Mytilus edulis: one gene and its partners. The protein of the gene in region 3 interacts with the protein of the main gene of each other region in a pairwise test. Links are inferred from orthologs where the notes say so. Each region holds a gene or a part of one and is shown on either strand. Other genes may lie near its edges. The genes, in order: tetratricopeptide repeat protein 23-like, transcription elongation regulator 1-like, huntingtin-like and nucleoporin p58/p45-like.

Evidence for each region.
Region 1: the proteins of huntingtin-like (region 3) and tetratricopeptide repeat protein 23-like interact in binary tests that used the Homo sapiens proteins (3 or more experiments, as listed by UniProt). The link is inferred for Mytilus edulis from reciprocal best matches to the Homo sapiens genes HTT and TTC23.
Region 2: the proteins of huntingtin-like (region 3) and transcription elongation regulator 1-like interact in binary tests that used the Homo sapiens proteins (3 or more experiments, as listed by UniProt). The link is inferred for Mytilus edulis from reciprocal best matches to the Homo sapiens genes HTT and TCERG1.
Region 4: the proteins of huntingtin-like (region 3) and nucleoporin p58/p45-like interact in binary tests that used the Homo sapiens proteins (3 or more experiments, as listed by UniProt). The link is inferred for Mytilus edulis from reciprocal best matches to the Homo sapiens genes HTT and NUP58.

The regions. Positions count from the first base shown.
Region 1 is NC_092354.1:39,864,221-39,872,096, reverse strand, and holds the start of tetratricopeptide repeat protein 23-like, read left to right. Parts: upstream 1-4,771; 5' UTR 4,772-4,788; coding exon 4,789-4,889; intron 4,890-6,856; coding exon 6,857-7,009; intron 7,010-7,528; coding exon 7,529-7,697; intron 7,698-7,876. Other genes in the region: superkiller complex protein 8-like, read right to left, coding at 444-549, 1,486-1,513, 4,153-4,167. UniProt on the Homo sapiens protein: Participates positively in the ciliary Hedgehog (Hh) signaling.
Region 2 is NC_092347.1:74,834,918-74,843,101, forward strand, and holds the start of transcription elongation regulator 1-like, read right to left. Parts: upstream 3,066-8,184; 5' UTR 3,003-3,065; coding exon 2,869-3,002; intron 581-2,868; coding exon 268-580; intron 70-267; coding exon 1-69. UniProt on the Homo sapiens protein: Transcription factor that binds RNA polymerase II and inhibits the elongation of transcripts from target promoters. Regulates transcription elongation in a TATA box-dependent manner.
Region 3 is NC_092347.1:34,306,359-34,313,495, forward strand, and holds the start of huntingtin-like, read right to left. Parts: upstream 3,005-7,137; 5' UTR 2,843-3,004; intron 1-2,842. Other genes in the region: peptide-N(4)-(N-acetyl-beta-glucosaminyl)asparagine amidase-like, read right to left, coding at 7,066-7,137.
Region 4 is NC_092351.1:34,502,661-34,510,226, reverse strand, and holds the start of nucleoporin p58/p45-like, read right to left. Parts: upstream 3,010-7,566; 5' UTR 2,792-3,009; intron 637-2,791; 5' UTR 624-636; coding exon 608-623; intron 1-607. UniProt on the Homo sapiens protein: Component of the nuclear pore complex, a complex required for the trafficking across the nuclear membrane.

The DNA of each region.
Region 1 (7,876 bases), on a different chromosome or scaffold from region 3:
GTGGCCACATTTTCTAGAAGTATGTCATCTGCAAACATTTCACTGATCATTTAAATGCATATTGTACAACACCTGAATCTTAAATAACCAATTGATCCAACTTTAATTTTAGTTCTTTAATATGTTTATGAGTTTAGTGTGACTTGAACTTTTCACTGAAAATTTGTGTTAAGCATGTTTAGGGGCCACCTAAGGCCCACCTCCATGTATGGAATTTTCTCACTGTATTGAAGACAGATTAGTGGCCATAGGCTATTTTTTGTTCCTTTGTCGGGTTGTTGTCTCGCAGACACATTCCTCAATATTATTTTAGAATATACATATTTTCAAATATATAAGTTTCAAATTCCTTGTATTATTTTTTTTACAATTAAAAATATATATAAAAGTGTAAATAAAAATATGATATTACAGATAAAGTTAATCTTAAATAATAATTTTACCATCTCCATATTTTGACGAGATCATCTATTCCCCCTGTTATAATGTTCTCAGATCCATCTGTTTCATTTTTCTTCCAAGCACAACTCCAAATACTGTCTTCATGTGCTATAAAATAACAAAATTATTATAAGCATCATTGAAGGTGGTTACGGTGGTACCCAACACTTTGACTGTTATTAATTTGGTTCATTTAATTTTCATAAAGTGTTGACAAAATGTTAACTTTGACCCCTTGACAAAAATATAAAAATTTTAAAAAATTTGAACTAACCACTTTATCAGAAAAAAATCAGTTTATGTAGCAGTTTGACAAACACTATTTTTCATCACTGAGAAGCTTAATATTTCCTTAACCAGGTTAACAATAAAATGTTGAACTCATTTTTACTGAGTTATCTCCCTGTAGTGTTAGGTACCATCTTAAATTCAATTGTTAACATTTACCATGATTTTTGTCAGATAATTGGAATCCTTTGGTTTTATCCATTTTGTTCCATTACAAACTTTGTCTGCTAAAACCTACTTCTCGTTTCTTTACTTTATAGCATATATCACGACGTATATACTTAGTTTAAAATCTTATAAAATCCTTGTGTTCTTTTCATACAGTTTTTTGAAAGAGAAAAGGTGTTTTAAAATTAAATGAATGATAATACTAGAGATAATCATTTTCCACCAACTTTTCATGGCTTACATGTATATCTTAAAAATATGCATACAGACCTTAATTTTTTTCTGTTTTTTAGTTCTGATTTATATATTTGTGTTGCTTAATCTTCAGTTTTCTATTTTGTGTCTTGTGTAGTGTGTACTAACTACTTATCTGTTTGCCTTTTTTCTTTATTAGCCATGGCGTTGTCAGTTTATTTTTGATTTATGAGTTTGACTGTCTCTTTGGTATCTTTCGACGCTCTTTTATCATGTTTATAAATATATATGTACTCAGATTTTATAGAAGTCTTTTGAAACATTGTACTTAATGAAATTCATTAGTGATAGAAAGTTATATCTGATTTGTGAATTAACAATGATTAAACTCACCTTGTTCCTGTTTGAATATCAGGGAATACTACAAAGATTAAAAATAATTAGGTTAACAGGAAATATTATTTTATCATGTTTTTAGGTCAAATGTCATGTGCTCAATTTTGTTTAAATATCCAACTTTTGATGGTTGGTGTGAATGCCAGTGAAAAACCAGAGAGCTACGTTTTAAATTGTTACAGTAAACATGGTAAAATATAAATCAACACAAATTTATCTAATTCATTCAAGGTAATGTTATTAATCTTGAGCCTATTAAACCTGCTGTATATTTTATAATACTTAAGTCTTTTGTTGGTGTGGTTCATAGGTGTTTTGCTTTCCTTGTTCTGTATATAGATAAGACAGCTGGTTTTGTGTTGACATTGTTTTACAGTCAACGACAGTGGTCATTTTGGTGACCTTTATAGCTTTCTGTTTATTGTATATATATATGCATGATATGTGAGCATAAGTGTTTTGTTCAACATGTTCAAACTTCAAGGTAGTAGTTTGACCTGTAATTTTTAATTTAAAATACATTGGCACTCTAACCACACCTTCTTATTTTTTATCATTACAAAAATGTGGACTTTTTTCAAGTAATCCGAACCATGATTTCTGATTCTAACATGCTAACGGGCTACAAATATATGCTATTCCATCTGCTTTGCTTTGTTATATTTCATTGCATTTCGGTATATTTTGTTTTGATTCCATTTCTCACTTTATAAATATCGGGAAAAATCATCTAAACATTTTAACATGTTTAATAAAATAAAAAAATCTCTTTCAACATGTTCAAAGACCAAATGAAAAAAAAAGAGTTTGGCTTTATGACTTTGCAGGTAGGCGTCAAAGCAAATATTAAAATAGTCTTTATTACAAGACGTCATAATTATTTGGACTAGTAAACTAGGGTATTAAAACTTGTGGAACTCATGTACACAATGACATTGTCAATGTGCTGAAAACGCTTTTAAAAAAAAAACTTTAATAGGCCAGTTCCCGGGATACAGTTTTCAGACGAATCTGTCATGTGACTTTCATCACCACCTGACAAAAATGTATGCATAGAAATTTCCAGCACATGTTGAGCAAACGGGTGAAAAAGTCTTATTTTATATTGCACAAAATATTTGGGAAATTAAAATCTAAAAGGATGGTCACCCTCACTCAATCCTATGGCAATCACGATTTATATGTACTTACAGAACATTAATTATTTCTATACTACCCTACAGAATGACGATTATGAAAGTGCTGGAAACTTTTTATAGACAGGGATGCAGGCGCGCCTTCTATCTGCAGACTACGCGAATGAATTTTATTTTTACAGGACATTCGGTCTGGTAAGCATCCTAGCTTTACCAGACCGAATGAAATTTTACCAGACCAATTTTTTTTTACATCTAATTGTATATTATCCGACAAAAAACAACAAACATATGACTTTGTTGTGCCGGCCTACTCCTCACCAAAATGCACAAATTAAAACAAAATGATGTAACAAGAGGGGATATTGTTATGAAAGTTGTGCACAATTGCTTGAATGCATTTCAGTGAAGAGTAATGTCCCATTTTATTGGATTTTGACAATGTTTGTGAACTAAACATAATTTAGAGTTTCTGTATAAAATATTATTTTTTGTTTCTTCTTTCTTTTTCATATATCTTTTGGTTTTCAATTCTTGTGGTTATATTTCATAGCTAAATTTTGTGATCTGCTTGGATTTTTATTCATTTATTGTATTTAAATCGGCAAACCCGGAATTATCCTTATCCGTTCCCAGAATCTGATCCGGTTTTATTTGCATTTCCGGTTGTGCCAATGATGGCATCCATTGTTGTTTTTGACAGTCAGATATGTTTTTACCCGGATTTACACATTACTGGTTGTCGATGTTCGGCATAAAGCTAGCGGTTGAACAAAATAAACATCGCTGTGATGAATAATAAAGATGAAAATGAATTTGAGATTGTTTGGCAATTTTGCTAGAATGTTCCATGAAAAAAAAACACCGGACATTCGGACCGGAATTCAACAAAATTTTACCAGACCGATCCATTATTTACCGGATTTGTCCGACGGTCCAACGTATTTCGTGTAGTCTGTATCTGGTAAATGACGTCATAAAGGCATGCAAAATTGACGATCTTTTCCGGTGGAAGACATGATTCCAGAAATGACCTGTATGTGGGTCTCATTGGGGTTTAAGCATGATATTATTCTAGAGTGATTTTCTGATTTATCAATTACTTTGTTCTTTTTTTATCGTGTTTATTAACAGCCACACCAGCTGTTCTCCACAAATTCATCTAACTCATTATTAGCCTATGTACATAGTTTTAATCACCTTTTTAAAAAAGTTAAATTACGCACCTCAAATTTATTTCCATATATTTTTGTCTTTGTCTTTGTAAATATATATATAGGCCACGCTGCGCGCGCAAACAGTAAATAATCTTCAGATCATTGAAGGACTACTGAAAACCTAAAGAAGAAGAAGCCACTGACACTGTGGATGATGTGGAGCCTGGAGGAGAGAAAAAGAGTAATGACACTATGTCAACAGTAAGGATCTGAGTAACAGTCACTTAACTGATTCATCCGGTGTGTAGTTAAAAGCAATATACGAATGATCTTTAATTGTCTATAATATAAAAGCAATTTCTTTTCCTTACCAACTGATTCGCCATCCCGTTGCCGGTGGCTGTGTAGTCAATAGAATGTTTTGTTTCCCATTCGGTTTTACTGTTAGATTAAACGCGCACCTGTCTAAGATAAAAATTTATAGTCTCTAACAAAATATTGTTTTGTTAAATTCTTGATTTGATCTGTTAAATTACATTTATATAACAGTTATTACTATAAAATTATTATTAAATAAAATATGATATATTTCTCTTTAAAAATATATACATCTATAAAATATTTATAAATTTTTTAATTTGGTTTCAAGACTGTTTACAAATGGCGACCGTAGATGTAAACAAATCAACAAAACTATAGACATAAACCTTTTTTTTCTGTCCAATACATTATATTGTACGTTATCGTTTACAATCATTAGTATTCATACACAAGTAGCACTTTATTCAGGAACAATTATCATTAATAGTTTCCTTTGACCAGATGTCGATTTAACCAGGGTCCGATTTGACTATAGCTAGCTTTGTGTATTTTACTATTTAACCCCTTCTACACTAGAAATACACGCAGCACGTTCTAGTTCGGCTCTGTTATGAATACGGGATCTGCTCAGACTCCTGTCGTCCTGAGTCCCGTACAATTAATCAAGATACCTTGGCACCAATAAAATGGGTGCCAGGCAATTCAGCATCAGCAAAAGACCTCATGGGCTAAATACCAGAGAAAGACAATTTGGTATCAAGACAAATCGGCACCGCATAACACTTCTGTTAGTCCGAGATTACTCTGAAGTCCAACAGACAAGATGGGCCTTGGAAGTCGGGCCTGTCCCATATTTTATCAAAAAGTGGATATTCGCACATCCAACATAGATGTGCTGCTTCATCGCTTCTGGTCCCGGCTAAAGGACTTGGAATTATATTATTATAAATCAAGTATCAATTTGTTCATTCTTCAGTTATCTCTTCGTTTATGTAAGTTTCATCTTCCTACCAACCTTTATTTTCTCATATTTAGACAGTTCTCACAGCAACCCATCGATTCAGACATTTTTACTTTTATTTTCAAATGGATGTCAAGTGATGAGAGACTTCACTGTCTCAAGACTGAAGTATGCAAATATTTATGCTAATTTTGGTATTCTGTATATTTCTTCACCCCCTTTATAGGAGATCGGTATTAAACACTTATAGTAGCCAACATTGATAACAATTGGAAGAACTCGGACATTTACCTTACTTGCATTGTAAATGAACGAGGTGTCAGATTATGTACATGTATTCATATCAACCTAGGGTCAATTGCATAAATCAGCTCCCATAACCCATTGTTCCTTACTTTTTCTCTTTAATCACATGACAATCTTTCAAAATGAAAGTTAAAATGCCTGAATCGATGGGTCACTGTAAAAACTGTCTAAATACACGTATGAGAAAATAAAGGGTGGCAGGTAGAAGAAATATTCATAAATGAAGAAGGAACAAATTGATACCTGATTTATATAATTCCAAGTTGGTTAGTCGGCACCAAAAGTGATGAAGCAGCGCCTCTACTTTGGACGGGCAAATATCCACTTTTTAATATGGGACGAGTTCTGACGTCCCCAAGCCCAGCTTGTCTGGCCAAATATAGCATTTGGACATCAGAGTAATCTTGGATTACACTTCGGTTTATATTCCACTATGAGGGTCGTAATGACCTTCATGACAAATGATGGTTTAAAATTTTTATAATACTAATAGTTGGTATCAGCTATTGAAGGGACAACCAACTTGCTATTATTACCAGTCTTTAGGTGTTTTATTATACAAAATAAATAAACTTTCTAAAATTCAACGTTCATAATCTAAAAGAAAACTAAAATGTCAAATAAACATGCCCAAAATTAACTATAATTTATTTTTAAAGTCTGTGTTGCATTTGTAAATATTTCATTTACTACAATCAAGACTAGGAATACTTGAGTTAAGATTTCTGTGCAGCTCATAAATTGTAGCTAAATAAGGCTAAAGTACATCAAACACAACAGTTTATAAAGACGTCGACAAACCCATATACATTTATTATATTTTAGATCTTTTAAAAATGTGTCCCGAAGATTTTCTTTCTCTTTTAAATTTGCTTCTGGTTAGTAATATCATGAATATGTTAATTTGAAATTACGACAGACACAAGCAGCAGTCAGTACCCCTGACTGAACAGATTATACCATTTACGATATATTAGAGTTTGACATTGCCAAGCGTACAAACCCATGCAGAATAGTTTATGACATCATTATTGTCCAATGAAAAATAAGTAAGGGAAATATAATTATAAAACTATTAACCAGGGTAATAGTTTTTGAAACCATTGACTAGCAAATAGTCTATGGAATGAAATAACACATCTTTTTCATTCTTTTTTATATAAACATACTGATCGACAATGATCGAGGTACATGTATAATAATAATTTTTGTTGCATGACAATAAAATGTACACTTTCTTTTTAAGACAATGTTCATTATGTGAGAACTCTGACAATATATATCTCAATACTAAAAAAGGATAATCTGATGAATCACATTAAATTTTGTAACTATTTGCCGAAATTGACCGTTTGTTCCTACAAAAAAGCACAGATTTTAGTAGCCCACACCATTTTTTAGGGAATATTGGCTAAAGGGTTCCTGCTTATTTCAAACCCTTCCTTCTCCTTTTAATTTCTAACTAAATATTAATTTGGAAATTTTAGAAAGTTAATTAGCAACATGCATTCAGAAGATTCTGATGACGATATGAATGTAGGAGCTCCCATGATGGTGGAGGTCAAAGGTCATAGTAGAACACCACGGCAACATTCACAAAGGTCACTTCACAGAGATTCAGATTCAGATGAAGAGAACAGGTGAGTGCATGTATCTAAAATTAGTAATTTAGATAAAAATGTGCAGCACTACAGAATTCATGAATTTAATAAGATTTGGAATGGAAATGGGGAATGTGCCAAAGAGACAACAACCCGACCAAAGAGCAGATAACAGCCGAAGGCAACAAAGGGGTCTTCACTGCAGCTAGAGTATCCTGCACCCTGATGCATGCTTTAGCTATTACAAAAATATATCGATGTAATATATATGCTTAATATCCAAGATGATGTTTCAATTGTCAAGAAAATTACATAACTTTTGTAAGGTGCAGAAATCTAACATCTGTTCTAAAAATATAAATGATGTCATTGAATTTGTTAAAGTCATCTTTTAAGAATTGGAGTTATCTTCCTTTGTCTAGAATTGCTATTAAATCAACTACAACCAATACAATAATTAATTGTACTTCCATATCATCAGCATATGATAAATTGAAACAATCTTTTCCAGTCAGTGCCACCAAGCACTTTGATTAATTTTTACAAATTATTCTCCAGATATGAAGATGACTATGAGGATGATATGACCACAGCTAGATCAGGGAGGACAACAAGTAGAAAGAAAAAGCCTGGGAAGAATGGTCGTCATGGGATAGATATGACACCACCTGACAAACTTCTCAAACAGGCAGTTAAAAGGATTGGAAAATTCAGAGAAAATGAAAAAGTATTAATTATTTTGATTAAATTTCTGCCAAAAAAATGCTTCATTAATATCTACTGTATATTCAGAATGTATTGTGTGCATTTATTATGGCGATTTTATCATTTTAGACTAAGATTTTAAATTTTGCGATATTCAGAAAAATCCTTTTGATACATATAAAAATTTCAGAATGCAAGTTT
Region 2 (8,184 bases), about 41 Mb from region 3:
TGGTGGCATGGCAAAGTTTGGTGGAGGCATGCCTGGTGGCATCCCAGGAGGAGGCATCATAGGTGGTCGCTAATGAATTGAAAAAACACAAATATTTTCAAGGGTTTTACTGAATTTATCAATTGCAAATTCTTTCATCATGTTCATTATTCTTGATTTTTAATGTTATAATTTCTGTTAACTTGAGTTTTTAAAAAGAAATTAACATTACCGTTACAGTCTGGCCAACATTCAAGTTTACTCTGAGGGACTTTTTGGAAAACTTACCATTCCTTGCATACCAGGTGGTGGTGGCATCCCTGGAGGTGGTGGCATTCCTGGAGGAGGAGGCATACCCTGATAATTCTGAGGTGGTGGTCCACCAGGCCCTCCTGGATGAGGTCCATAATTTGGATCAAATGGAGGTCTTCCAAATGGAGGTGGGCCTCGCATTCCTGGTGGGGGTGGACCCCTCATTCCAGGTGGTGGGGGACCTCTCATTCCAGGTGGTGGTGGGCCTCTCATGCCAGGTGGTGGTGGCCCCCTGTATCCTCTTGGAGGACCTCCTGGTCCTGGTGGACCTCTAAATGGTGGTGGTCCTCTGAAAGACATTCATTTTTTATTAATTACAATGAACAGAATTATCATATTTTAAGAATAAAGACGTCATTAAAAAAAAAGTTCTCAGTCAACAAAAATACTGATCTAGACATAACATAGATTTTTCAACATCAAATTCCAGTTTAGTTTCCTGTCAAAACAATGGCGACAATCACAAATATTTTTTGTAAAACAATGTGTTAGGGACTCAAGGGATACATCCCAGTGACTCACAAGTTTCAAAAGTGACACATTCAGCTGGATTTGTACAAGTCCAGGACAAGTATACACGTCTTAACGAGAACCTTGAGTGAGACTACACATCAGAACTATTTAGAGTAAGATTATTTCTGAATCTTAACTCTAACTGACCCCAATACTTTTAATTGCCTTGCCAAAATATTATTCTTGAAAAGGTGTTAAAGTGTTCTAATCAGACTTCAAGTAATCTGCTACAATAGTACATTATTGACTCAATTTTGTACTATTCAGATCAACACATATACTATTACTAGATTACAACAGGGATCTCCATGGCCTGTTTAAGGCGCCATCTTTCAAATGTCTTGCGTCATTGTCAAATGACTCGCGCCATCGTTCAATTGTCTTCCGCCATCGTTCAAAACTGTGATCGTTTTTATAGCCTGACGCCATTTTTTTTAGCAATTATAATTAAATGCATGAAATTACATAACCCTCAGGTTTTGTTTTTTTTTATAGTATAATCCAATAAAGTTCAAACGCCTGAGGGATATCCGGATTAAGATCGCTAATCACTTGTACCCGAGCTTGTTCAGGTAGATCAACAAACCAGACAGGAGAATATTATCTGAAGATAGACGATTCATTTGTCAAATTATTTAACTAAGTTTCCACAAATGCTTATGATAATTCGGATTAAATAAATAAATTAATAATCCAGTTACAAAGTTTAACAAGTCGACCACGTGCTTTAATTTTGACTTACGCAGCATCCCCCTTTTTAAGAAGTAAAAAATAAGACGTAAAACAGTAATTATTATTTCATCGCAAATAACTCGAGTACTGCTGTATTGTAACGATAATATAGAATTACTTTAAAAGTTAAAGAGTAAAAACTTTTAATATTTCTTGTAAAGAAATATCGTATCGTAATTCCGAATTCATTTCGTAGTTAACAATCAAATTGATACATCCGCGTTTCCGGTTTCTATTCAGACTCAAAAGATGAATGTTGCATAGCATCAATTTGCTAGATAAAGTCAATAAAAACCTTTTCATTTGACAACGTTTGCTTTACAAATCTTTTTAACTTTTACATAACCTGTACGACTCGTTTTGTCGTTGCTGCAAACCAGCCATACCGGTAATGGGTTCATGACTTCTGAATTTGACAGTGTCCGTGAAAAAAAAAGCTCCACATGATTTTTAACCCAAATAACAATTACCAAAAATAGCAAGAAAACTACATGGGGACCTCCGTGATAGCTATTGGTCGTTCTTGACTAAGGGAAAGGGAGGGGGCATGAGGGCTTGGCCTTTGAAGGGTTGAAAACGGCAATTATTGAAAATATGTATATACTTCTATTTAGAATTTATAATGAAAATTCAAATAAATATAATTTAAATAAGCAATGAATTAGCATGTTCACCTATCCTTATATGGAGGGATGAAATACTTCGATTGCGCTACACTGTACGGTGAAGATACGGTTTATGATGGTGAAAGTTCCTCCATCGTTCAATTTTCATCCATGGAGATCCCTGTACTTGGGAGTAAAATTCAAAACTATAAAATGTATGAACATCTGTTGCTTGCGCAAATATTAAGTGGATGCATGTGTAACACAGAATCAAACTTTAAAATTTTCAGGATTTTGGTCATGTGTATAAAGAATTAAAGAACTTCAGTGCATGATTGTCTCCATAGAAAAAAAAAACAGCAAATGATGTGGATTTTAATAAAATTGTGCGTTTTAACGGCTGACTTATAGTGACAGTTGTTCAGGAAAGTTAGCAGATTTATTCTTTTTGTAAATAATAAATAGAGAAAATTTTACAAAAGGGGGAAGTCCATGTCATTTTTGGTGAAAATTTTTGATAATTTTTTATCTCCATTTGTTGCAACATGGATGCGCACATCAAATCAAATTTCAAAGTTCATATTGGACTAAATGATAATATTGTCGCCTACGGAGCAGACAATAGTTTGGCAATTAAAATTATCCATACGCCGGCAACTGGATCAATTTTTAGCAACAAAGATGGCCGACCATACAGAACATAGCTTTCATGCTTCAGTTTTGGTACCTTGGTCCTCTCATATATCCTCTGCCACGCGGAGGGCCGTTATATTGATTTCTGTGAGATCTGAAATCACGATCACCATTGTCTCTAGGCCCATGGTCATGATGATCATGTTCATTTTGTTCATCGTCGCCCATCTTGTCTGGTCGCGTTTTTGTAGGCTAACTGGTTCCGATTTTCCAGTAGGTACCAGACTTGGTAGACTAACATAGGCTAAACTTGTTTCATCCTACGTCGTCGTCCGGTTTTTAAAGGCGTTTCGATCATACACCAAGTAATACTACTTCGGCTTTAGTCACGAGCGACAGTGTTCGAATAACGTCATATTAGAATACTTCTTCGGCTTTGGAATATAAAATATTAATATTGTCACGATTTTGGGACATCTCGGACCAACTAGTAAGACGAGTCGAACCGTCTTCACAATCACACTATTCTCGATATTGTCTCGATGTTAAAATCTAGGTTGAATTCGTCTATAATGCCAGCTCAGACAAATCATATCAAGAGACAGAGCTAATGCATATTTTAAAAGTTAATATGACTGTTTTTCGCCGAATGTAGGACAGAAAGTCACAGGACAAAAAGTCACAGACAAAAAGTCACAGGACAAAAAGTCACAATTCATTTTTTCTGATTATTTTCTTTGAATAAAAAATGCTTATTTTTACAAAAATATTTTTGTATTTTTCTTGATGTATTGTATATTAACCAACTTTGTAAGCAAAATTTATCAAAAAAATATCAAAGATGATCAAATAGTTGTTAAGAAAACAAAATGTCAAAGAAGATTGGCACTCAAATGGCTTCATGGTGCCAAGAAATATGTCTTTTGCATGATTAAAATAAAATAAATCTTCATTTTTCAAGTAAAATGATAAATTCCATTAACTTTAATATGAGTATATGTATTAAAAAGTAAATATTTCAAGATATTTCTCTTATATATTCCAACAGAGACATATAATACAATATTTATATAATTGTATTATATGTCTCTGATTCCAACAATTGTTGAAAAAATATTTGTGACTTTTTGTCCTATCAAATTTGTGACTTTCTGTCCGTTTACCTTTTTCGTCATCTTGGATTGCAAATAACCAATCATCAAGCTAGCAAAATTTTATACAGGAATCAGTGCAGATAACTAATGTGAATTTTCATTAAAACAAGAAATGTGTAAGATTTCAACTTATAATTAATAATATCTTACCAGCGTAGATTATATCGTTTGATTTTTAATGTATTCAAAAATAGGCATTTTAGGGGGAAGTAACTCCGAAAAAGTGCATTTTCTGAAGGAATCTACAAGAAATTTTTCTATTTTATATAACAGGCGAAAAAAAAACGTACCCTGTCTTTTCAATTGATATTCCTTAAATTAAAGTATTTGCTAAAAGCTATCTTCTCGTATTTTATTTTACAACTCTCAGTATCATTTAGTTATCTTCTAATCACATAATGACGTTTTTCCGGCTTTAATCCATACAAAATGTGTCATTCACAACCTGTAGCTTGAGAAAATGCACGGTGAACTATCAGTTTTATTATATTTTTAACATATCACAATATATACTATGTTTTGGCAAAGTATGATCAAACTCTATAATTTTTTATTTATACTCTAATACCACCTTGAATGATTAAATGTAATATATCACAGTCATGATTTAATGCGAAATAGAATTTCTACTTATGATTATGATAAGTTATATTTTAAATCACATCTTCATTAATTCCAAAATCAAACCTCTCAGCGCTTTCGATTTCTGACATGTCGCGTGGGCACACAAAATCTGCAATTCTTTAGCCAAAATCAATAACTTGCTTTTTCCTACCCATTGCAACAAAATCTAAAATAAAAAATATATAATTCGGTAATTTGAAAATGAACTATGAACTGAAGAAAACACCTATTAGTCAGTCTATATACGTGATCGTCATTCTACAGATTCATGCGTACCATGCAAATTTGACCGTCCAAAATCTAAAGTTCATTTCACCAATTCACTCATGAGGGTCTGGATGGGGTGGGATGGGGGGGGGGGGGGGGGGTTCTGTTATTCTGTAAACATTTAATTTTCACCCCTTTTTTCTCTAATCTTTAAAAAAAATAACCCCTTTTTTTCTCTAATCTTAAACAAATTAACCCCATTTTTCTCTAATCTTCATTTTTTTTTGCCCGTTATTCTCTAATCTTCATTTTTAAGGGCATTATTCTTTAATCATTTAACCCCATCCAAACCCTCACTCATCAGTCTCAGGTATTGATAGTAAATGCTATTTGCTGTTAACCACACACGAAAAAAATCAATAAACTGTGACGAGTTTCCCATTACATTTTAACCACACCAAATTCACTATAATCACAGTGCTCTAAAAAGGAACCCCCCCTTTTTTTTTAGACCATTGACAAGCCATTCTTCTAGATCCAGATAAAGGGCCTCCTGTGAAAAGAATGATGTAACTTATGGAAAAGCAAGTCAACTGCGTATTCTCTCTTTCAAAAATACCTCAATGAACTGCTCGATAAACATGATATCATTCTCTTACAAGAACACTGGCTCTTTAACTGCGACAAGGAACTATTAAAACAACATCACTCAGACTTTATTTATTTCATTTTCTATATACACATCGATGATGTTGAACTAATGTCCCCAATTGATAGACCAAGAAAACACAGTGCATGGTATTGCAACCATATACAGAAAATCTATGTCTTCAATTTTTTCTCAACTTCAAGACGGGAACAAGTTCTCAAACAACAGAATACAAGCTATTGAAATGTCAAGTCGGAAATCTTACCTTCCTTATTAGTGTACATCTTCCCTCTAGAGGTACGGATAAAAGACATGATGCTTATAGAGCACCATTTGACACTCTATCAGAAAAAAATCCTTAAGTACCAAGAAATAAACTCATCATAGATACCAATTTAATTAGATTGCATAGATACCGGCAGGAATTAAATTTTGTATTTGCGCCAGACGCGCGTTTCATCTACAAAAGACCCTTCAGTGACGCTCGTATATAAACAAGAGTTTAATCGGCAAAAAAAAAGAAAAGAAAGAAGTTTAGGAGCATTGAAACCAATTCAATTGTTGTTGCGGGGACTGTAACGCCTTGTTCGGTGCGGAATTTTCTCGCTGCATTGAATACCCATTTCGGACCTTCGGCTGTTCTCTAGTCTAAGACTCTTTGGTCGGGTTGTTGTCTCTTTGTCACATTCCCCAACTCCATTTCAATTTTATCTATTGAGAATGATGCAAGACTATAAGGAAATTTATTCAGGATCATAAGTGTAGGTCAAAACACCTATGACCATTGTCCTGTGTCTGTCAATCTTTATATAGACACAAGGACTTGCCAGAAACAGTACAGAGAAAATACTTGTACCAAAATCCACTGGGAACAACGGTAAATAAAGATAGTATACACTAAGTATTGAGTGCTAACCAAAGGATAAAAAATATTTAAACATGAGAAGACCTTATGGAATTGACCAAACTACAATCCAATTACTTCCCGGTTCGAACAGTGCACTAGAAACATGTTAGCTTATTAGCGTGAGAGGAAATCAAAGCAGGAAAAAACGGATAAGTTGGTCACCAAAATTGGCTCATGCGGTCAGGTAATAAAAAAAAAGCTTTTAACCCTGGAAATAAATCAGGATCACCTGAACATCTTACATGCGGAGGTTTAGCTTTAATTGACTACTTGCCTCATTAACCATCTTCTATATACAAAATATGTGCCTGATGCTATAAAAATGGGACGTCTATCTCCGGTCCATAAAAAAGATAAGGACCAACAGTGCCTTCAAATTATAGAGGAATTGCAGTCATCTCGATCATTTGTAAATTTTTAGAACTCTGTCAGAGAGGTGGGACTGACGGCATTTAAACAAACAACAAAATAGACGACAAAAAGGTTTTGCAAAAGGTGCTTCATCGATAAATTTGCTTTTTAATTGCTGAAGCCATCAATGAGATAAAAGATATAAGTACAAAAGGCTCATTTTAATCCTCCTAGATGCAGAAAAAAGCCTTCCATGTCGTAGATCACATCTTTTTCGAAATTACTTCACCAAGGAATCACAGGTTCAACCTGAATACTGATCAGAGAACTATATAATAATACATCAAACCAAGTAAAATCTTACGGGTGTATCTCAGAAGAATTCAATAACTAGAAACGAGTAAACAGGGAGGTATTTACAGAGCTTACACTAAGATTTCTAGATACTATCGAAGCAACAAATAGGTTTTAAGATCAGAACCATTTATTTGTGTTGTCCAACATGCGCAAATGATATCATGCTATGTGCAACATTGGAACAAGATGCATCAGCTCAACTCAGCATCGTTGAAAGTTGTACCAAAAATTGAGGCTGAGCGAGTTAAGATCAATAGAAAAAAGACTGAAATACTGTTGATCAACAAAAGAACTACCTCACGGCCGGCACTCGGCTAACCGAGAGATTGGTCGGTTAATCTATATTGAGTATGCGGTTTTGAGTATAAGGACAGTAGAGAGTAATGTATTGCTAAAAAAGAGAGAACAAATAAAAACTTTAAGAATACAGACACGAAACACCCCTGGGTGTTGAAACAGTAACGGATTGCGATGTACTCAAATTGATGACTAATGCTAGAAGTATACAAGCGGACAACTGCAGTTCTCCTTTGCACTTATGTAGGTAGAAAGGAACTAAACGGAATAAAATGAATTAAAACTTAAGATAACCAAATGTAGCTGCATACGCTCATTTCCATTTACTTCTTTAGAATGATTTGTAAACAACATATGATTTAGTAATAGAAAAAAAAACCAATTGGATGATGCTGACGAATTAGGGTTTAACGTCCAGTGACAAATGTCATGTGCATATGAGAACGACAACACGTTATATGTATCCTGTGTTGTATTAAAAAGACACTTTCAGTCGGATTGTAGAACGTGCTACTTTGAACAGACACACAAATTAAGGCTGATTGAAAAATGTTAATAATAATTTTCAATCCATATCACGCTATATTGAAGTGACACACCCTTCAATAAAATGCAAAGAAAGTCAAAATAAAAAATGCTCTTACTAGAAGGATACTGTTGCACCATATCGTCTTTTTTTTACTCAGTCAAGTACATCTCATTCTTAACTTTTTCAGTGGGGAAATATAAAGATAGCAAAACTATTATCGTGGCTATAAAATAACTCTTAACTGACACAATTTTTATTGTCCAACCCATTAACAGACTTTATTCCCCTATTTTTCACTAAAACGTGGTATTATTCACGTTATATTACAATTATGA
Region 3 (7,137 bases):
AATGTACTTTATCATCAGCCGGAAAAACAATACCATTACAACATCCTACAAACTACATTGTCACACTTTAGAACCTGTCAAAAGTGCCAAATACCTAGGCTGCACATTCACATCTCAACTGAAATGGAATGTAAATAAGGTCTGCAACAAAGCCAAAAGAACAAGCTGCTTCCTAAAATGAAACTTGAATATCAGATCTAATTCTGTAAAGAAAAATGCCTATAAAACACTAGCAAGACCAATCACAGTCTCGACAGCCAGTCCAGTATGGGATCCATACAATAAAACTGAGATTGACTGACTAGAGATGGTCCAGCCCAAATTATATGTGATGAACAAACATCTTAATCACTCAAGTGTAAGCAAGATTATTAATTATCTTGATTTGAGATTCCTCGAAAAAAGGCAAAAAGATGCAAGACTCGCCATGCTCTTCAAAATTGTAAATGAAAAAGTTGCAGAGACAAAGGAAGATCTTCTGATGCAACCTAAATGATTGTCAAGAAATATGCATGACAGAAGCTTCAAAATTCCATCAGCTACAAGTGATTAATGGAAATATTCTTTCCGCTAAACATCAAAGATTGAGGGGGGATAGGACCTTTATCGGGACTCCAGGATTGGGTGTTTTTAAGCTCGGGATTTCGGGATTGACCCTTTTTGGGATTTCGGGATTTACTTTATTTAAATTCGGGACCTCAGGATTTCGTTTTTTTAAGTCTGGGATTTCGGGATCAGGACCCCTCCTATCCCCTCAAGATTGGAACTCTCTACCTCCTGGGGTTGTATCAGCACCGTCAGTCAAGGCTTTTAAAGCCTCAGTGACAAAGCTGAACTAAATTAAAATAAAATGGGGGGAGGGGGTGGGGCCTGTATGTACAAAAAATTCAGTTAGTTGATTGTGGTCATTATCCGGCAGAAGTAGACGACAACCGTGGAATGAAATAATTTTTTTATCAGAGACAAGTGCCTTAGTCAAAATAATTATGACGTCTTGGAAGGCTTTTTAAAAATGTTGCTTTGACGTAACGCGTCAAAGAAAAAATATCTAATAACCTTTCAAGACATCATAATTAATTGGACTAGAAAACAAGTGCCTATGTCATGGCGGTATCTGGATGATTCGTTCCAACTCCGATTCGTCCCAACAAATTTGTCCCAAGTTGCTTGGACAATTCGTTCCAACTTTTTCCAAAACTTGTCAGTTCGTTCCAACAGTATTAAACAATATTAACCATTTGCATAGCCTTATTATTTTAATTTATAATGCTGTACTTATATATATATAATGTAAATAAATACTTAGTTTTAATAAAAATCTATGATTTATTAATTAGGAAGAAAGGTATATTGGGTATGATATATTGATAAATATTAATTATTAAGTATTTCATGACAATCTAATATTTTAAAAATGAATAAAGTACTAACTAGTGTTATTTTCAAAGAATTCGTTATTATTATAATTGATTATTGTATTTCAATGGATAGGTAGCACCATCTTCCCCATCAGTGCTTGGACTGTTTTTGGCCAACCCATTCGCACTAACAACGACGTCGAAGGCTGGCACAACAGACTAAACCGCAAGGCCAAGGGTGCCAGCCTTCACTTGTATGTGATGCTGAAAGTTCTGAGTGATGAAGCCAGGTACCTACCCATGCAGATCCAATTAGTGTCGGAGCATAAACTCACGCGCTACCAAAGAGCAGCCACAGAGAGATCACAGTCTAAGCTGATGGAGCTGTGGGACAGTTACAGAAGCCAGCAGCTTACAGTAACCCAGCTGATGACATCCGTTGCACTTATCGTAGTGCCGTCCGTTGAACAGTAGAATGAACTTTCTGAAATACTACAAGTCATTTAGACTATTGATCAATTATCCATGAACTTGAACTGTTATTGTTATATTTTGTTATTAGTATATGTGTCAATGACATGATATCAAATAAACATGTAAACCTTAAACTTATTTTTTTTTATTGGAAAAGACATTCAGATTATACCGAAATATGATAAAAGTTGACAAGAAAAGGAGAAAAAAACAAAGACAACCCAAAAAATCTATGTCTAAATAAACAAATATTGTACATATAAATCTGCGTAATTCAACATAAATATTTGTTAAAATCGAACCATAAACGCATCATGAAATTTCATATCGCACATGCAAAAAAGAAGCCATAGATATTACTGAAAAACGATCTTTTAATATGAAAATATTAAATATGATACATAAAAATTGACAAGAAATTGATGATTTTTGCCGTGAACTATAGGTTGATTTACACAAAGACAGTGATATACGGACAGTGTAAGAAAGTTGGAACAAATTGTTAAGACTGATTGAAAAACGATCTATTATATGAAATATACATAAAAAAAATTGACGATTTTTGCCGTGCAGTGGGTTGATTTACACAAATACAGTGATTTACGGACATACACACTATAAAAAAGTTGGAACATATTGTTAAGTCTGATTAATAATAAAATAAATTAGTTGGTACGAATTGACAATTGACTTGGTACGAATTGTCCAAATCTGGAACGAACTGGTTTGGAACGAATCGGACTTGGAACGAATTGACTAGCATTCGTCATGGCTATGCCTATGGTCGTATGGATAAACTCAGGCTATCCACTTGCAACACCTGTTGCTGCCAATGCAAATTAGAATCCAGTGATGATGGTTCATCTGGCAATGTTAAATCGAGCAAACGATGGCATTTTGGTTTCGACAATTGGGGAAAAATATAATATGTCCGTGTGCGTGAAATAATTTATCATGGTCATAAGGCTGGTATGATTACTGATCTTGACAAGAAATGGGTAAAATTTAACCTTTCTTGTTCGGACGTGGATCACCAAAACGTCAGATAAAAGGCTGGGGCTATCGAAAATGTAGGAACAACTGCTGTCATTGTAGCTTTCACTATGTTTTTCTTTCAGTAAGTGGTCAGGTTGATCAATATCTTAGACCGGAAGTTTAATTTTACGGTCACTAATCTATGTATTTTCGACCCAAAATTCAGTTCGTCCTGAATGTGGTTTCGTCCCCGATTTAAGTTCGCCACAAGCATTTTATCCTTACCGAAATGGTTTAGAAAGAATACTACCAAGTATTATTTTATACATGATGGCATTTACAAAAGCATCATTGCTAGTTAACAAATGTCACTTACTCAGATTTTAATAAACAGATTATTTTCATTGAAAAAATTTCACTTAATCTTATCAAATTTATTGATAGTTGAAGTATGCTTTAACCAAGCAGGAATTTGATAGATTTTTTTACATCAAAATTCCCCGATATATTGTCTATTAAGCTTACACAAGTAGAGAAAGTGTCCTTCTAAACTCTCTTTGACAAGACAGACTTTTTGATAGAGGTTATAAATAAGTTGTTGTTCAATGATTCAGATATTTGTTTGGAATCCATGAACATCAATTTGCAGATTCATATTGTGTCTGTATTGGTTAATCTGCTTTAAAATTTTATTGTTTGTTTTTTTCAAAAGAAAAAGATCTTGTATTCCTGTACTGTGTGTGGCATTGCTGCAAGGCATTTTCAATGTCTTTGATATGTATAACATTGTTAAATATTTTCTGTGTTATTTTTTTACCTGTATTTTATTTTCAGATATTTGGTTTTCCTGCACTCAATTGTTATTGGTTAGTTTTATGTATCTTTTGCTGGTCCATTGATCAAGACTTCATTTAATAAGGGAGGGTTGAAATATCAAACCAAAGCCTCAGAAGAAATTGTCATTCCTAGTATGAGGAATAGGTTGACAATTTTGGCAATATTGACTGATGCAAAGTGCTGAACATTTTTGCCAATTACAGTTTCTTTCTTTTTTTTAAGTTTTAGCAACAACAAAACAATACAGGTTGAAAATCTTAAATATAAAATTGTTGTGTAAACAGACACTGCATCATATAGCATAAAAGATGGACGAAAGATTTCAGAGGGAGAGTCAAACTCATAGATAGAAAATAACCTGACAACGCCATGGCTGAAAATAAAAAGACAAACAGACACAACATAGAAAACTAAAGACTAAGCACCATGAACCCAACCAAAAACAGGTGCTCCGGAAGGGTAAGCAGATCCTGCTCCACATGTAGCACCCGTCGTGTTGCTTATGTTATTACAAATCCGGTAAATAGTCTTATTCGGTAGGTCACATTGACATGTTCATATGAAGCCTGATAGCAAATTTCAGGATGCTCTAATCTGTAGATCATGAGAAATCTGTAACAGATATTCATGGGAGGGATGGGCAGACATACAGAAAGGGGAAAAACAGTGTACAACCTCCTTCACAGCAAGGTTTAATAATATACTTCTGAAGATAATGTTGTGCTTGCATGAAGCTTTTCTCATAATGCTTTCATGAAGAAAGATATGCAAATGATATAATTACTAATCACATGTAGCTTATTTTATCTCTATGTGTTGTTCTTCCAAAATGGCTGTGCCCATGTCACTCTATTATAGAACATTGTAATCCTAGGGCTAAAGTAATGTTTGGCCCAGTATTTTAAGAGGGGATTTTTTTTTTTAAATTACTACAATTGATGGCAATAGCTCGCTTGACCTCTTGGGCAAGATAAGCTACATATTTTTATGGCATTATAATGAGCCTTTCAAAAGTGAGGAACCTTGTTAGCAGTATTTTTTTCACATCATAAAGTGTGTTTTTCATTTTAGAGAATAAGATGTTGGAAACAGTTTGATAGCATCTGTTATTCCTAATCTGTATTTACCTTGGGGTGGATTTAGAGTGTATTGACACCAATTTATCTTGTAAGACCAGAACATTTTGTGTTGTTTTTTGTGTTGTGTTGCTGTTTCATTGAAGTTAAGCCCATTCATTCATATTTATTACTGGGCATCACCCTTCATACACATTCCAGCAATCTTGCATAAAAAGTTATTTTTAAGAACATTGTATGTGCCTATTTAAAGTCTCAACTGAATATGATTGCTTACAGGGTATATGATATCTACTTTCTCAAGATTAAGATCTGCTGTGGGAACAAGAATATTGCAAGAATAAATTTCTAGGTCCACAGAATCAAGTGTTCAGTCAGTGGCGGATCCAGAGGGGGGGTTCCAGGGGTTGGAACCCCCCCCCTTTTTTTTTGGCCGATCAATGCATTTGAATGGGGACATATAGTTGGAACCCCCCTTTATCCTGGGTTGGGACCCCCCCCCCTTTTTTTTTAAATGGCTGGATCCGCCCCTGTCAGTATTGAGCAGCAGGTCAAATTGTTAGAATGACCTATTACAAACAGCACATCATTTAAACTCTCCATTTGTTCACAACTTTGTTCCATGTAAAATTTGAGCTAACAAGTGGACAGTGTAGTGAGCTTCTGTGTCATTTGGTCTCTTGTGAAGAGTTGTCTCTTTGGAAATCATACCACATCTTTTTTTTATATTGTGTTAAAATTGTAGAGATGAAAAATAAATTACCATACAAAGGATTAAACCAAAAACTTGCAGCTGTTATAATTATATGACTCTCACGTCACTGAATAGCGCTGTGAGGTGCATGTATAGAAATGAAGACAAATATTAGCTATGATCTTTCATTTATTATGTTGTCAAATGCAGAAAAAAAAAACAATTTGATCATTAACAATAACACAGATTTTTTAGTATTACAATAACACTATAATAATCATTATTTAATAATAATCAAAAAAACATACCTTAATACAGCCTTACACTTATTTATATATCTTTAAGAAGGCAGCTTTAGACAAAGTTCAGTAGTAAATTTGAAGTTTTTTCATGAAAAATAAGAAAGATAGCATGCCCTTGAAAATGCTTTAAACTTTATAATTCAGCTGTATAAAATCAAAATTTGTTTAAATCATAGAAAAAAGTCTTTTCCCTTCAATTGTAAGAAAATTATACAAATTTATGAATTCATCAGAGGATTCATTTCTCAATTTCAATCATTCATACACATTAATTTCAACAAATTTAAGATGAAGCTATGATAGCTTTCCAATGTACATTAAATTATAAAGGTATTTATACAGACAATCTCATATATAGCTTTTTTTGGGTCAAACACATATAAATACACATTGTCAGATGAAAGACTAATTCAATAATAGAAAAAGTACAAAAAAGTAAAAACGTTGACCAGAATTACATCACAATGATTGTTCTTCCAATGCTCCTTTTAAAGCTTCCTTTTCAGTAAGAAAAAACTTCAAAATAAACAGGAATGTGGAATAATGATAATTATATAACATCTAAAAATTGTATGTGTACATTCACCCTCACATTAAGAGGGGTTTTCCCACTACAGGATAATTGTCTGATTATGTTCCCCAAAAATAAAATGAAAATTGAATGTCTGAGTAAGTTTTGAAACTAAAAATCCCAATAACATTTATATTAAATTAAATCTTAAATTAAAATGTGTAAGTATTATATCTTAAAAATTGACAGATCCCTTCCCATGGCCTCAAATTCAATGGCCCCCTTAAAACTATTAAAGTCATGAATCAGTATTACAAATATAACATTTATGATATCAAGCAATCTTTTTCTATTGAAAAAAACATGATTATAAACATCAATCATAAGATTTTCAAGCTTCTGTAGTATAAATATCACTTTCATATTAGGAAAAATTTGTAAAAGTAAACATTTTGAAAATATAATTCTAATAAATAATGACCATATTTATAAATAACTTTTTACATATATAACCATTCACAGGCAAAAAATGAACCATTCTGAACTTCAATATCATTGCACAATGATTATCTGAAGGATCACAAAATTAAGCAGCACTTTGAAATAAATTGAAGATGCCAAAATGTTAGCTTATTATATATTGTCTTCTTATTGCACATGATAATACTTTCATAAATTTCAAATCAGCAATTCCAGTTTAACTATGTTAGATCTATGAATTTATGTTTAAAGAAAAATTGAAAGAAAACTACCAAATTTGATTTTTTTTTTTCAATATCTCCCATGCAACAACTTCAAAAAACTTTGAAAAACAATAATACTATTCATAACAAAACACTTATGCAAAATGTACTTTGACTTCAAAAGGACAGAATTCCAAATCAGTATTAGACTGTCTGAATAACTGGGT
Region 4 (7,566 bases), on a different chromosome or scaffold from region 3:
CATCATATTTCTTTTATAATTTTAATTTGTGACTCCCTTGTCCACGAAAAGAATTCATCACACTAACTTGATATACAATTGTTTCGTAGAGTCTGAACCCTACATCATAGGCTTTCGTTTTAGTTAAATTGAACTGGACAAAACATTGACCTAGACATGCAGTTGATCATTCCTGTTTCATTTAAATTTGGTCTATTTTGAAGAGCTGTTTCATTGTCAATCATACCATATTTTCTTTTCCTATTTTACTATTAATAATACATTTTAAGGAAATGGGGTTCGAATTCTCAATAAGAATTTTTCTAATGAATTCAAGGACTAGTCATTTTTGGTAATGGCGATTTCACAATTCTGACAATTAAAATCAACATGATTAAACTTCAAACTAACACATTGCCGATGATGCTGGAAACAGCAACTTTAGTCTGACTTTGTCAATGAATTTATCGAGACAAAAACTGAAGCAACTTTTGTAGTTTTCACACTGTCAGATACAATGTACTTATTTTTTTCAGCAATATCATGTTTATGACTTTTCAATTCTTTGTCATGTCAAAAATATTTTACCAGTATATTTCTTTTTTTAAATAATATTAAAATAATATACCTGGTTGGTTAGCCATGTCTGGAATTTACCTGTAATAAAGACAACATTATATTTTCAACATTAATGTTTCTCATCTTCTCATTGCATGCATATACAACTGTTAGTCACTCATTTAATTAATGGCTAATGACATGAATGTTAATCATGTTAATACTAAAGTCAAACTTCTTTCAGACCTCTTTAAAAAAACAAGAACAAGAGTGAACAATGCTGCAATATCTAGCCTGTTTTACTTATCACAAACGAATTGATATTGAACGAATTTATAAAAGTTTTGCATGAACATTACAAATGGAAATGAGATCAAGGTCAGATGAAACGTACCAGACACCATGTTCACCATGCAATCCTTCTATACACCAAATGCAGTTGACTAATGAACCATGAAACTAAGGTCAAGGTCAGGTGAACTCTCTATGACAGATATGTACACCTGACAATCAATTAAAATATAACCAAATATTGGTGTCCTATTGAGTATAGTACTTGAAAAAAACAGACCAAAATACAAGACCTAGCTTTGAGTGCAATGGCATGCACCATAAAAATGAGGTCACGGTCAAATGAACCCTGTCAGTTGAACATACAGTATACACCTTACAATTATTCAATCATTATCTATACTAAATATAGGTGATATATAATAGCTTATAAATGTAGTTTCTAGTAAATAAACCAAATCATAAAAAATAACATAGACTAAAGAAGCATTAAAATGAGGTCAAGGTCAAATGAAACCTGCCAGTCAGACATGTTTTACAATCATTCCATATAAAATTTGCTGATCTATTGCTTACAGTATCTGATTGGGATATGGATGTGACCACGAAAAACTTAATTTGATATTTGAGGGGTTGAATAAAGAAGGGGGCAGGTGGACTAACTGACATGTAGACCTTGCAAGGAAACCATACCAAATATAGTTTTCCTTTTACTCATGATAAGTAAGAAATTCACATGACAGTCACTTAACAATGAAAATGAGGTCAAGGACATAGGATATATACACAAACTTTGTAACATAAGGCATCTGCATACAAGACATGAAGGTTTATAGTGTATGCTGTCCTCACTGTCTAATTGTAATCCTCACTTTAAGGTTTCTATTTCTGTTCCAGGTGAGACAAAAACTGAAAGCAGAGCTCATAATTCATACTACAATTTTGATCATTCTTCTGTGCCTGCTAATTCAAATTCCACAATATGCATGATATGCAATGGGAAACCACCAAAAAAAAAATCAGATAAATATAAAAATAATTTTATTCATGTGACATGTATAACTATTTGAATGTTACATCGAAATCTATTCAGTTGTTCGAAGTTATGGATTCAAATACACCTTATCGCTATTTGTCCTCCAATACCGGACATCCCTCTGGTTCACGTAAAATTTTGACGTGCTAGGCTAATACAAAATATCTGACGCCACAATGGAAAAGTGATTGTTGTAAGATGTCAATAGTTCAAGCAAGACAGATTTTATGGTCATTCTGAAAAGTGATAAGGTGTATTAGTTTTCTAAAATTGTCAAATTTGCAGATAAAATTTCATGTATACATGTACATGATTTTTCATCTCATGTAATTAAATATAATATTCTTATCCCAAACTTTGTCTAGTTTGAAGAATTAAATATTTTTATTAATAATTAAGGAGAACGAAAAAAGTTAATTTCTGATTGTTGTTTCATTTGTAAGAGATGTTGAAGATACTGAAATGTGCATTCAAACTCAAAGTAGTAAACAAACTGACAATGCCATGACATAAAATGAAAAACAACAAAGAGATACAACAGTTCACAGAAAACTAAAGACTGGACAACACAAATCCAACCAAACACCATGAACACAGGGGCGGGGTATGATGTTGGGTGCTCCAGAGGTGTAAGGATTCTTTTCTTTTAAACACAGCAACAGATCTTGTGATCTACCCAGAGATAAATGTAAGTGCATGGACAGAACTTATTTACATGCCAGACATTACCAAAATACTATACACAGAAATTATATTATCATTCAATTGTTTCCTTATACAATCTCGGGAAAGTTGTGATTTACTCGCTAAATATACGTTGGTAGTGGGTCTTCCAAATTTATGGATAGAAACAAGTGCCTGTAAAAGTTGCACAGCTAAAAACGAAAGCTGGATAAATTTTTGCTAGCACGAACTACATGTACATACACAAGTAAACTTTCCAATTATTTAGGTTGCAAAGATATGGACTGCATATATATAACTTCTTATATATTTCTAATATCTTCAGATCATACAATCACTACAGAATTTCCCACCAAAATTATATTATTTTTCTCATCTCATGCCTTTCGAAATTCTGTCGACTGATTCCTTAATTAATCGACACTTTCGTTGAGCAAGGTATTATTGAAAATTTTGGACAGGGAACTAGTAACAATAGTAATATTAGATGAAACCAGGATAAGTTGGGATACTTTTCCGGAATATTGTGCAACATTTTACAGAATACAGAATACATTTTACACCTGAGATCACCCCCAGTTTATGGTGGAGTTCGTGTTGCTTATTCTTTAGTTTTATATGTTGTGTCATGTGTACTATTGTTTGTCTGTTTGTCTTTTTCATGTTTAGCATGTATTGTATTGTATTGTATTGTATTGTATTGTATTGTATTGTATTGTATTGTATTGTATTGTATTGTATTGTATTGTATTGTATTGTATTGTATTGTATTGTATTGTATTGTATTGTATTGTATTGTATTGTATTGTATTGTATTGTATTGTATTGTATTGTATTGTATTGTATTGTATTGTATTGTATTGCATTGCATTGCATTGCATTGCATTGCATTGCATTGCATTAATGCATTGCATTGTATTGCATTGCATTGCATTGCATTGTATTGTATTGCATTGTATTGTATTGTATTGTATTGTATTGTATTGTATTGTGTATTGTATTGTATTTAGTAGTTTCCGTAAATTCTTTTTTAAATTATTTCTATATTGAAAAAAAATTGCTTGCATTTTATGGAAGAATTGTCAATGAAAGTTGACAAAAAGGACCCAAAAAAATCATCCCTCTTGTCGTAAATTTTAGTGTATAGTTTCCCGTGTAGAACGAACATATCTAAAATCCAGGTAAGGACAGTTTTAACCGTTTATATTTTATTTATTTCAAGTGAAAGTTATTTCCTTTGGGTAAATTTCAGCCGTATATTTAGAAAACACATCAAGATAACCGTAAGTGTTGTTGAATATATATCAATTAAATGCAAGTTAGACTGGTCATAAACTGTGATTCATGGCAGTACAAGTCTGATATTAGGGGCGCCATTGGTCCCCATAGGAATACCTACCAACTCGTCGATATGTAACCTTTGATGCCGAAACGTACATTAATATTTGCATGGAAAAATTGTCAGCTACAATCTAATCACACACCCAATAAGTATATCTAACATATTTACCTTTCTCATTAGGGAATAAAATTGAGAATGGAAATGGGTTAATATCAGAGACAACGACCCGACCAAAGAGCAGACATCAGCCGAAGGCAACCAATGGGTCTTAAACGCAGCAAGAAAATACCGCACTCGGAGGTAATCCTCATCTAGCCCCTAAATAAAATTGTGCATACTAGGTCAGTGAAAATGGACGTCACACTAAACTCCAAAACATATAAATGAACTAAGACTAACAGAGGCTCCTAAATTGGGACAGGTGCAAAAATGCAAAGAAAAGAAGGCTTTACAGCAAAATGATTTGAGTGTGTAGGTAAAGGGTATACATTTGGCTAGCTTGCTTGTTAACTGAACCGTAAACTTATTATAAAGTTAGCTACTATAGTATTCTGCCTAGCTCCTTTCGGAGTAGTCTAGTCTTACAGACAGATATATTAGTTACCTGTCGGACTAGACTAATCATAAAGGAGGGTAGTATACATAACCTAATAATGCCACGGACTTCACGGCTCAGCTAGCAAGCACACAATATATATATAACCAATGATATTATCTTTACCTACACACTCAATTCATTTTGCTGAGTTGAAGCAAATATATTTGTAACTAAATAGGAAAACCTTTGTTTGATAAGATTGTGTGGAAGTGTAGTGGAAAGAGTTGAAAAGTAAAAACTGTCAACTAATCGAAACTTCAAAAGGACCACAAAAAGCACCTGATTTATCTAAAACAAAGAATGTTTAACAACTTATAACATATATAAGATGTCCCTAGCTTCATATCAATGAGCAAAACTATGAGACTTGAGGGACGGTTTTAATCAAAATTGATGTATGTATATGTTACAGGGAATTTGTGAAATCAGTGATTTTGTAAAATCCCTGAAATTTCAGGGAATTTGTAAAATCACTGAACTGATTAATGATTTTATAAAATCCCTGATTTTGACTAATGATTTTACAAAATCACTGAAATAATTAAGATCTTTTTTACAGATTCACTGATTAAATTCAGGGAATTTGTAAAATACATTCATTCATTTTTATTAAGAATTTCAGTGAAAAAAGACTACAACAGTATGAAACTCCAGAAATGATTCACGAGGTTCACTATTCGATTTTAGGATATCTTTAAATATTTCAGGACCTCCATAATTCGATTTAAGGGGGATATCTTTGAAACGATGTCAAGAATTCCTTTAAAAATTGATGTCAAAATGTCTTGAAATATTTAGCCATACATTTTTCTAATAGAAATAGTTTTGACTTTATACTCCGCGCCTCATACAAACCCGTTTACATAAGGTTATCGATAAAAGGCTCTCAACATATGACATACGAAAAAAAAACTCTTAAGAAGAAAATCTCTAGTCTAATTTATACAAAAACAATAAACGAAAATCATTGGCCCAGCTTTGTCCTGATTTATAGTGAGGCACACTTTAGGACGTTGGCTTTAATGCTCGCAATGACGATAATCTTTTGATAATCTGTTGATAAGCTGAGGTTGCAATTTACGAATGCAAAGATTATATTCGAGGAAAATAAGATGAGATTATAATGACAATTGGAACATTTCTGTTGTTATCTGTAATTCAGATATTCCATAATTTTGATCGGATGTGTGATGGTGTTCTAAAGTTTTCGAAACTCTGTATGATTTCAACTTCACTTAGAACTCTTGGTTTAAAAGCTTCGTTGAGGGCAGACAGGAACCCTCTATCAAGAAAATTTAACACGAAATGTAAGCTCTGGACTATCGTTTCAACTGGGAGAATCAGATATATACCGATAACTCATATGGCAGCGCTGCTGCGATGTTGCTACATAGAAATGGAAAGTTCAAGTGGTAGAAAGCTGAAACTATCTCTTTAGTCGTAAATATTTGTTCTCGATCGACCCTCGTTGTCAACATGGACTTTATTACAAGTCCCTGTTCACGGCCGACACTCGGCTAACCGAGAGTTTGGTCGGTTAATCTATATTGAGTATGCGGCTATATCGGCGGTTGGTCTGTTAATCGGGTTGGCTAAAGTCTGTTAATCAGGTGTTATCGAGAAAATCATTGCAAGGTCAGTATGTTTCATTGTATAACTTTTTAATTAAGGTCTTTCCTTTTACTAAAGGGAAAGACCTTACTGTATTTCTTCTGACTATTATTAAGGTCTTTCCTTTTACTAAAGGGAAAGACCTTACTGTATTTCTTCTGATTATTATTCTTCTTGTTCCGCCAAACTTTGACAAAATTTCCCTCCGTAACCGTAAGACGTGTCGCTTTCATGTTCACACTTTGTATCGGTGTCATGAATACCTATCCGGAACTCACCCTGTGAGTCGAAATATTTTGTCGGTTCGGAGTAATCCCTCCGAAACCCAAAAACCTTGTTATCGTTCCAACACCGTAACCGTAATAGGTAGAAAAAAAATGAAGGGTGAAATTTGTTCAGGACCAGACCCCGGTTCTTCGTTACATTTGGATCGAAAAGATTCAACGACTCATTGGTAGGGTTATGCCCCTATGAAAATTAACCGGTGTCGGTTGGCCACCAAAACTCAGAAACCGTAAGTCGTAGACACATAGGATCTTCACCAATCATCATCATTTCATGTATCTTTAAAAAATACCTCAAGGTCATATTTGTATGTTGACCTTGACCTTTGACCTAACACCTTGTTATGGGATAATCTCAAAAACCATTATACTTACAGAAGTTTTAAATGGTGGAAAATGTTTGGGTCATTATGGCGCAACTTTGTTACATTTTGACCAAAGAGATTTGACCTTTCTATAAGGGGCATAACCCCTGTTTTAGGTTTTTGAAAAGACAAAATCAGCTTTTACTATATAACCAAAGGTCCTAGACCCTTAAGGTCTTCAGTAATGGCATTGGGGACCAATGACCTTGACAAAGGTCAAAAGGTCAAAGGTCAAGGTCATGTACCAGATAGCGAATTTAGTGTTTTTAACCTTATATAAAGGATTTTTAGTGTGTTTTCGAGCTTTTTAAGGTTGACCTTGACCTTTTCAATACATTCTACGTCTGTTGGAACATGTATTTTACATTAAAAAAGGAAAGACCTCTCAATTGTTCAAGAACAATTGACAGTTTAATTATTCTTTTTGTTCCGCCAAACTTTGACAAATTTATCCGCGTTAACCGTAAGATGTGTCGCTTTCATATTCACACTTTGTATCGGTGTCATGAATACCTATCCTGAACTCACCCTGTGAGTCGAAATATTTTGTCGGTTCGGAGTAATCCCTCCGAAACCCAAAACCATTGTTATCGTTCCAACACCGTAACCGTAATAGGTAGAAAAGAAACAAAGGGTGAAATTTGTTCAGGACCAGACCCCGGTTCTTCGTTACATTTGGATCGAAAAGATTCAACGACTCATTGGTAGGGTTATGCCCCTATGAAAATTAACCGGTGTCGGTTGGCCACCAAAACTCAGAAACTGTAAGTCGTAGACACCTAGGATCTTCACCAATCATCATCAATTCATGTATCTTT